Linked DNA regions of Arabidopsis thaliana. The protein of the gene in region 2 interacts with the protein of the main gene of each other region in a pairwise test. Each region holds a gene or a part of one and is shown on either strand. Other genes may lie near its edges.

Region 1 (4,893 bases), on a different chromosome or scaffold from region 2:
GTCCGAGGAACATGTCGGAATCATTGATCCCAAAAAACTCAGTTTTGAATAAAAACATTATTATAGATATTCCGGATCACTTACTGCTCCTCCATGTTCTGAAAATGTTATTTGGTCCGTTTCCAAAGAGGTAACTATTAATTATTTTCAATCCCGTCCATTTGGTTTATATATATATAGCTATATAGTTTTTCATTTCAATCTATGATTATGTTATTTTAAATAAATTACCTAGTTAATTAATATAGCAATGTCTTATGTTGTAATAAACTTTCAGATTCGCACTGTGTCAAGTAAACAAGTGAAGCTTCTCCGTGTGGCTGTACACGATGTAAGTTTCTTTCTTCTTTTTCTGATTTATTATACAGTATAACAATATTAGCAAACTATCATATTAATACTTATATAAATATCTGAATTGCATATTTCTCAAGATATGAGTCTGTAGAGCATAGATGAGACTACTTATGGTCTATATAATATTCAAGATAAGACCATCATGTTTTATCATCCAATTGATTTCTTACTTTTCAGTTTTTGAAAATATTTTACAGGCTTCAGATTCAAATGCCAGGCCGCTTCAAGCAGTCAATAAGCGCAAGGTATATTTATACAAACCAAAGGTTAAGTTAATGAAGAAATACTGTAATATAAGTTCTTACTAGTAATCTTTAATTCTTTATATATGTACATTATGAATTGTACACTAAAATGATGTTTTTAGGGATAAACTGATGACTTGGTTTTGTTATTTAAAAATAGTCTCCCACTCGTGTTATATAAAATGGTTTTTATGTTACTTATTTATAAGCAAACCCTCTTTACCTAAAGAAGGGTATGAAACAACACAGTCTCAATTTCAATTCTCTTGGTAAGTGCTAACTATTAGTGTTATGTTAGGGATCAAATTAGTTTCAATTCTCTCAGATTCAGTTTATGTGGTAGTAGGGCACATAAGTTAATGAGCGCATGAAAAAACCGAGAATTGATCACACAAAATTTCTAGCTCATACATCTTCATTAGCCTTTTGTTTAGAGCAATCCTCTTCTGTCTAAACAGTGAAGATGTGAAGTCATGTGTAGAAACCACCATTATTTAAAGACGAGTCAAAATTTATTGGAAATTTTTCACAAACGAAGCTAAAACTACAAAAAAAGAAAAAAAATCAGACTTACCTCGGCTCTAAAACTTTACCAGTACCATATTCGGGATGGTGAACCACAACCGCGCTGGAATGAACCAAGTTCAATTTTATCGAGTCTTGAAACTCTCGAATGGATACAATATTATGGAACAAAAGAAGAGAAACAAGTAGCTGCATTCATCTTAAGAAACGCAAATTTTTCGAAGAAGCAACTTTCTCATCTAAACCCACCGATCATAACAAGAAATCTAAGATGCTTAAAAAGTTGTCATCATCGCCTATCTGTTCTCGTACTTGTCAGCTTCTATTTCTTTGAAACTATGGTCAATATGTCAAGTAACAATCATCTTTGTTTGGTTGGTGCATGTATGATTTTGAAATCTTAGTTAAGCTATTGGGAGACGTTATCATGTTGAAAACTATTCAAGTCCTGATATTTATCGTATCATAAAATAGTGTGTAAACACATTATTGAAGAATGTAACTAACGGATATATATACACTCAATCTGAAAATAAAGTTCACGCGTCTTTAATTTTCTTTAATCTAAGAAGTCAACATCAAACGAATATTTACATATAATTTACATAGAAGAAGATACTACTTGATATTCTCAATGCAACTAGAATATACATACAACTAGTCAATATAATAAAACCAAACAAGTAGTTATGAAAACTCGATTAAACGAAGACCACAGGCGTTGAATCAGCTACTGGTAGATTAGTAATAAATAAACCTCAAAATTAGTGAAGGAAGCAAAATAAAAGACTATAATTAACAAAAAGTCTTAAAACTTGATTAATAATTAAATGAAAGATTAATAAAATGCTAATTAAGAAAAGGACATAAAGTAAGAGGAAACAAGGAACGAGTTGGGGGGTTAGAAGAGGACGTGGTTGGGTTGTTTTCTTTTGTTTTGTTTCCTTCCACTCTTTCTTCTTCTTCATTTCCTCTTTCTTTCTTCTTCCTTCTCCATTTTTTCTCTAATCGTTGGACAAAAAAGATTGAGCCTTTTTCTGGGTTTTATTTTCTATAAAGGAATCGAAAGAAGCAAGGACAGATTTTAAAAAAAAAATCTTGGGTTTTCAAGAAAAAGTAGAGACATTTTAAAGGTATGATTTTTATGTTTGTTGTGGGCATGTAAATTTCTGGGTTTATCTTTGTCTCATGTATTGTGTTTCTTTATTTGAGAAAATTTATGACAAAGGAAGAAAACAAAAAGCTAGAAATTTGATTCCTTTTTAAGGGTTTTGTTTTCTCTCTTTGATCTTTTACAAGATTCTGGGTTCTTCAGATGTTTTTCTCCTTTTCTGGGTTTAATTCTTTTTGGGTTTTATCCAAATTTATGTAAAAATCTTGACTTTTTCCTCTCCTTTTTCAAAAGATGTTCTTGTCTGAATTTGATTGGTCAAAATCATTTAATTTGGATTATTAATGACAAAATCTACCCATTTAGATTGATACTTGTATAAAAGTTATAACCTTTGAGGGTCTTAGATCTGAAATTTAAAACCAAATTGGTAGATGATAAACAAAATTTCTAGGGTTTCATTGTGTGTTCTTCTTGTTTTGCAGAATCAATAGATTTGTGGGGGTGAAGTAAGGAACATGGAGGAAACAATGGCAGCTAGGTATTGGTGTCACATGTGTTCACAAATGGTGAATCCAGTAATGGAATCTGAGATCAAATGTCCCTTTTGCCAAAGCGGATTCATCGAAGAAATGAGCGGTAATGGCGGTGGAGGTGGTGGCAGAGGCATAAGAGATGTTCAAGATTCAGAAACCGATTTTGGAACAGACCGTGCATTGTCTCTATGGGCACCAATCTTGCTTGGAATGATGAGTAGTCCTCGAAGACGAAGAAGGTTTAGAAGATCAGAGTTTGGTGAAGAGAATGATGATAATGGTGATGACTTGACTACTAATGCTGATGGGAATGGGAATGATAGTAACAACAGTAATAATAACGTGTATCGTCATCATCGAGCTAGGAGACATGGTGGAGAGATTGATTTAGATAGAGAGTTTGAATCTATCTTGAGGAGAAGACGAAGAAGCTCAGGGAATATATTGCAGTTGCTTCAAGGGATTCGTGCAGGGATTGCTTCTGAGTATGAAAGCTCTGATAACAATTGGGATAATTCTCGAGAGAGGGATAGAGTTATAATGATTAATCCGTATAACCAATCGCTAGTTGTTCCTTCGGATCAGAATCAGAATCATCCTTCATTGACTTCACTTGGAGATTACTTCATTGGACCTGGTTTAGATCTTTTGCTTCAGCATTTGGCTGAGAATGATCCTAATAGGCAAGGGACTCCACCTGCTCGTAAAGAAGCTGTTGAAGCTTTACCAACGGTTAAGATAATGGAACCTTTGCAATGTTCTGTTTGTTTGGATGATTTTGAGAAAGGTACGGAAGCTAAAGAGATGCCTTGTAAGCATAAGTTTCATGTTCGGTGTATTGTTCCCTGGCTTGAGCTTCATAGTTCTTGTCCTGTGTGTCGTTTTGAGCTTCCTTCTAGTGCTGATGATGATGATGAGACTAAGACTGATTCCGAGAGAGTGCTGAGAACAAGAAATGTTCGGGAAACGAGTAACGGAAACGTTGTTGAGAATGTGGGAAATGCGGATAGAGGAAGAGAGGATGAGGTGAGGAGTGGAAATGGGAGACGGTTTTCGTTTCCATGGCCGTTTAGTGGATTGTTCTCGTCTTCTTCTTCTTCGTCTTCTTCAACCTCTGGATCTCAATCTGGTGAGAACAATTTCTTCTCAAGATCTTCTGGTTCTTCTCGCTGAGAGCAAAACAATCAAAAACTAAAACATCTTGGATTTTGTTATTGTTCTTCATCTTTTGTTGTTCTCTCATTTTTCTAGCTATTGAACTTGTTATTTCCTCTGCATTTCATTCTCTGCTTTACTGTACATAGAAATGATGTTCTTTCACTCAGACTGTTGAAAAACAAATATCCATTGTTGGTGTACAGAGATGATCAAATTTCAGTTTCCATTGTTTTAGTTTTCAAGTATGAAATTATCTGTCAATCGAGTCCAAATAATGACGAAATATATACAATGATTCAATCTTTCATGTTTTTGTACAGAGATGATCAAATTATGTGTGTCCATTATCTTTGTTTTTAAATATGAAAATTATATTTTCAGATGAATCCCAAATAATGATGGGAATTTTACAAAAATGGAGATAATGATGAGTCTTTGTCGGAATGATTTTTGTATGGGACGATTCATGCGCTGTCTTCTTTTTTGTCTTTCATGTCCCTGTCATTGTAAGATTATAAGAACATGAAACATAAACATATTTTCACCATTGTATTGGCGTATACATAAGAAATACTTGAGAAACAAAAAGAAATCATGATAATTGATACGTGTATGAATGATCCAATAGGTTTCAATACAACCAAAATATCCCAAAAGGAGCTGTTAAGTGGATTCACCGGTCACAGTAGTTGTGGTAATAAGCAAAAAATAGAACTTGAGTTTTCTATCTCAAGATTTTAATCACAATCTTGAATAGTTTCATAATAAAACGTTTAAAGTAGCGTTCCCCAAACGCCAAAAACGTGAATTTTTGAGTGGAATCATCACTTGACGGTCAAGATCTTGATCACGGAAGCATTACCGACTCGGAGTAGAGCAACAACGGAATCTCCAGTCTTGCATAGCTCTTTCTCTTTCCCGTACTGAGTAGCAAACTCGATAGCTTCTTCTGTTGATTCAT
Region 2 (5,101 bases):
AGAAAGAGAGAGTATTGAACGAAGATCAGTCATTCGAGTGGAACCGTGTTCTTCCAGCCGAAACAGTTTATATGGTTAGTGGACGTGATACACATTTTGCCTCGTCTTTTACTCGTGGCTCTAAAGTCACAATGCTTTGTGCTCAAAAAGTTCTGTAGAAAGTCTGTATATATGACACAGAAGAAACCAAAAACTATGATACATTCAGCAACAGAAAGTTATGTGGATCTTTAACTCTTTGCTAATAGGTTTTAATCTTTCTTCAAGTTTTCTTCTGGCCCTTAAGTCACAATGCTTTGAAATTTTTGAGTATATGTAGATACATAGAAGAAACAAAACTATGATACATTTAGTAACAGAAATTTATGTGGATTTTATCCTATTTGTAGGTGTAACTCTTTTCTTCTAGGTTTTAATATTTTTCTTCAAGTAAACTTGTTGTTATTGAATTCCCTTTAGTCGAAAGCAGCGATCAAGCTTCTCTTATAAGTTACAAACCCTAATTTCAGCAAACACAACTTGGAAACACTAGCAGCAACAACTTTGTTATTTTAAAACATTAGCAAAAGAAATCTCATTGCAACATCAAATGGCAAAACTGGAAGGTAAAAAAAGCAGAACTTATCAAACAAGACTACCAATATGATGAACTGATGATTTTTTTTTTTTTTTTTTTGGCTCAACAACAAACTTTCCATTCACCCATTTATGGATACACAGTCTAGCTCAACAGAGCTTTTAACCCAAATTGGTACAATAGAATACAACTTTAGATCATAATTCTCAAAAGAAAGAGATTCCTTAGCTATTCTATCTGCCACTCCATTTCCTTCTCGGCTTGTATGCACAAGCATAAAATCCTCAAACTTGCTAAGTAGATACTTTATGTCTTGGATAATTGGATTGAGACTTGACAAGCATAACTTTCATGTAACCAAAGACACAAGTTGCTGAGAATCCACCTCAAAAATGATCTTCCTATAATTGAATCGGGATAATGACAGCACAGCCCATCTAAGAGCCTCCACTTCTACTTCCAGCACGCTTCTTACTTTTACCACAGCTCTTGCACCTAACCATAACACCTTCCCTGTATGATCGCGAAGCACCCACCCTAAGCCACATTTTAATCCTTCTGTTGGCCATGCCCCATCAAAGTTGCACTTAACCCAAGATTGTGGTGGAGCTTCCCATGTTTCTCGTCTGTCCCGACGGTGTTGTGGTTGGTGCTTTCCTTACATTCTGAGCCTCTTTCCTTCTAATCCACTCATCTGCATCTTCTTGTGTCCTTACTAATACCTCATTGGTTCCAAATTCCCTCCCTTTAAGCACCAGCTCGTTTCTGTTCTTCCACAGCCTCCCAAGTATCCAAGGGACTAAAGCCTCCACATTCTTCAGATCAGGATATTCTTGTTTAAGATGTTGAACTCTATGGAGGTTTGTATGAACTGATGATCTAGGACCGGATAAGTTCCCTTCTTCATAGCGAACTTATTCAAAGAATGTTTTGTGTATCATTCTTGTTACATTGTTATTAATGAAAAAATATTATTGGTCATTGGACTGAACACGAGTGTTAAATATGGACCAGGCCCCAAATAAGATCCATTGATATATGAATTAAATAACAAGAATAAATCGAGTCACCAAACCACTTGCCTTTTTTAACGAGACTTGTTCACCAACTTGATACAAAAGTCATTATCCTATGCAAATCAATAATCATACAAAAATATCCAATAACACTAAAAAATTAAAAGAAATGGATAATTTCACAATATGTTATACGATAAAGAAGTTACTTTTCCAAGAAATTCACTGATTTTATAAGCCCACTTGCATTAGATAAATGGCAAAAAAAAACAAAAAGGAAAAGAAATAAAGCACGAAGAATTCTAGAAAATACGAAATACGCTTCAATGCAGTGGGACCCACGGTTCAATTATTGCCAATTTTCAGCTCCACCGTATATTTAAAAAATAAAACGATAATGCTAAAAAAATATAAATCGTAACGATCGTTAAATCTCAACGGCTGGATCTTATGACGACCGTTAGAAATTGTGGTTGTCGACGAGTCAGTAATAAACGGCGTCAAAGTGGTTGCAGCCGGCACACACGAGTCGTGTTTATCAACTCAAAGCACAAATACTTTTCCTCAACCTAAAAATAAGGCAATTAGCCAAAAACAACTTTGCGTGTAAACAACGCTCAATACACGTGTCATTTTATTATTAGCTATTGCTTCACCGCCTTAGCTTTCTCGTGACCTAGTCGTCCTCGTCTTTTCTTCTTCTTCTTCTATAAAACAATACCCAAAGAGCTCTTCTTCTTCACAATTCAGATTTCAATTTCTCAAAATCTTAAAAACTTTCTCTCAATTCTCTCTACCGTGATCAAGGTAAATTTCTGTGTTCCTTATTCTCTCAAAATCTTCGATTTTGTTTTCGTTCGATCCCAATTTCGTATATGTTCTTTGGTTTAGATTCTGTTAATCTTAGATCGAAGACGATTTTCTGGGTTTGATCGTTAGATATCATCTTAATTCTCGATTAGGGTTTCATAGATATCATCCGATTTGTTCAAATAATTTGAGTTTTGTCGAATAATTACTCTTCGATTTGTGATTTCTATCTAGATCTGGTGTTAGTTTCTAGTTTGTGCGATCGAATTTGTCGATTAATCTGAGTTTTTCTGATTAACAGATGCAGATCTTTGTTAAGACTCTCACCGGAAAGACAATCACCCTCGAGGTGGAAAGCTCCGACACCATCGACAACGTTAAGGCCAAGATCCAGGATAAGGAGGGCATTCCTCCGGATCAGCAGAGGCTTATTTTCGCCGGCAAGCAGCTAGAGGATGGCCGTACGTTGGCTGATTACAATATCCAGAAGGAATCCACCCTCCACTTGGTCCTCAGGCTCCGTGGTGGTATGCAGATTTTCGTTAAAACCCTAACGGGAAAGACGATTACTCTTGAGGTGGAGAGTTCTGACACCATCGACAACGTCAAGGCCAAGATCCAAGACAAAGAGGGTATTCCTCCGGACCAGCAGAGGCTGATCTTCGCCGGAAAGCAGTTGGAGGATGGCAGAACTCTTGCTGACTACAATATCCAGAAGGAGTCCACCCTTCATCTTGTTCTCAGGCTCCGTGGTGGTATGCAGATTTTCGTTAAGACGTTGACTGGGAAAACTATCACTTTGGAGGTGGAGAGTTCTGACACCATTGATAACGTGAAAGCCAAGATCCAAGACAAAGAGGGTATTCCTCCGGACCAGCAGAGATTGATCTTCGCCGGAAAACAACTTGAAGATGGCAGAACTTTGGCCGACTACAACATTCAGAAGGAGTCCACACTCCACTTGGTCTTGCGTCTGCGTGGAGGTATGCAGATCTTCGTGAAGACTCTCACCGGAAAGACCATCACTTTGGAGGTGGAGAGTTCTGACACCATTGATAACGTGAAAGCCAAGATCCAGGACAAAGAGGGTATCCCACCGGACCAGCAGAGATTGATCTTCGCCGGAAAGCAACTTGAAGATGGAAGAACTTTGGCTGACTACAACATTCAGAAGGAGTCCACACTTCACTTGGTCTTGCGTCTGCGTGGAGGTATGCAGATCTTCGTGAAGACTCTCACCGGAAAGACTATCACTTTGGAGGTAGAGAGCTCTGACACCATTGACAACGTGAAGGCCAAGATCCAGGATAAGGAAGGAATCCCTCCGGACCAGCAGAGGTTGATCTTTGCCGGAAAACAATTGGAGGATGGTCGTACTTTGGCGGATTACAACATCCAGAAGGAGTCGACCCTTCACTTGGTGTTGCGTCTGCGTGGAGGTATGCAGATCTTCGTCAAGACTTTGACCGGAAAGACCATCACCCTTGAAGTGGAAAGCTCCGACACCATTGACAACGTCAAGGCCAAGATCCAGGACAAGGAAGGTATTCCTCCGGACCAGCAGCGTCTCATCTTCGCTGGAAAGCAGCTTGAGGATGGACGTACTTTGGCCGACTACAACATCCAGAAGGAGTCTACTCTTCACTTGGTCCTGCGTCTTCGTGGTGGTTTCTAAATCTCGTCTCTGTTATGCTTAAGAAGTTCAATGTTTCGTTTCATGTAAAACTTTGGTGGTTTGTGTTTTGGGGCCTTGTATAATCCCTGATGAATAAGTGTTCTACTATGTTTCCGTTCCTGTTATCTCTTTCTTTCTAATGACAAGTCGAACTTCTTCTTTATCATCGCTTCGTTTTTATTATCTGTGCTTCTTTTGTTTAATACGCCTGCAAAGTGACTCGACTCTGTTTAGTGCAGTTCTGCGAAACTTGTAAATAGTCCAATTGTTGGCCTCTAGTAATAGATGTAGCGAAAGTGTTGAGCTGTTGGGTTCTAAGGATGGCTTGAACATGTTAATCTTTTAGGTTCTGAGTATGATGAACATTCGTTGTTGCTAAGAAATGCCTGTAATGTCCCACAAATGTAGAAAATGGTTCGTACCTTTGTCCAAGCATTGATATGTCTGATGAGAGGAAACTGCAAGATACTGAGCTTGGTTTAACGAAGGAGAGGCAGTTTCTTCCTTCCAAAGCATTTCATTTGACAATGCCTTGATCATCTTAAGTAGAGTTTCTGTTGTGGAAAGTTTGAAACTTTGAAGAAACGACTCTCAAGTAAATTGATGATCACAAGTGAAAGTGTATGTTACATAAGTGGATATTTCACCCTTTTTCCATCAATCAAAACATCATATAGTAATCCATTGGTTTATACAAACATCAAAATACATTTACCTCTGAAATGAGGAAAAAAATGCAAAGAGATTTTTGAAAATTTCCAACAAATGGAGAGAAAAAAAAAAAACAAAGAATTAAATCAATCAGTACATTTATAAAGGTTATGAGACCTATATGACACTTATTGGTCAAGTGGCAGCCATTCCATTTCTAGCTCTAATTCTCCAGACTCTACATTCTGAAGCTTGATCTGAACCTCCTGTTTCACTTTCCCATCAACAATGTTAATGATACTGTCATCTATTAATGGGTTATCATGCGATTTTAGCCATTTCCCAATCTGCATATCCCCAAACATTTCTGGA

What was found.
Region 1: the proteins of UBQ10 (region 2) and ATCRT1 interact in a two-hybrid assay, tested with the Arabidopsis thaliana proteins (one study listed by BioGRID).

What each region holds. Positions count from the first base shown.
Region 1 is NC_003076.8:22,815,498-22,820,390, forward strand, and holds ATCRT1 (RING/U-box superfamily protein), read left to right. Parts: upstream 1-1,982; 5' UTR 1,983-2,260; intron 2,261-2,723; 5' UTR 2,724-2,756; coding exon 2,757-3,947; 3' UTR 3,948-4,233; downstream 4,234-4,893. Other genes in the region: ACA8 (alpha carbonic anhydrase 8), read left to right, coding at 1-13, 278-331, 555-665; AT5G56350 (Pyruvate kinase family protein), read right to left, coding at 4,757-4,893.
Region 2 is NC_003075.7:2,715,855-2,720,955, forward strand, and holds UBQ10 (polyubiquitin 10), read left to right. Parts: upstream 1-2,122; 5' UTR 2,123-2,400; intron 2,401-2,688; exon of another isoform or gene 2,689-2,704; coding exon 2,705-4,078; 3' UTR 4,079-4,454; downstream 4,455-5,101. Other genes in the region: AT4G05310 (Ubiquitin-like superfamily protein), read left to right, coding at 1-158; AGD13 (ARF-GAP domain 13), read right to left, coding at 4,918-5,101. UniProt on the Arabidopsis thaliana protein: Ubiquitin exists either covalently attached to another protein, or free (unanchored).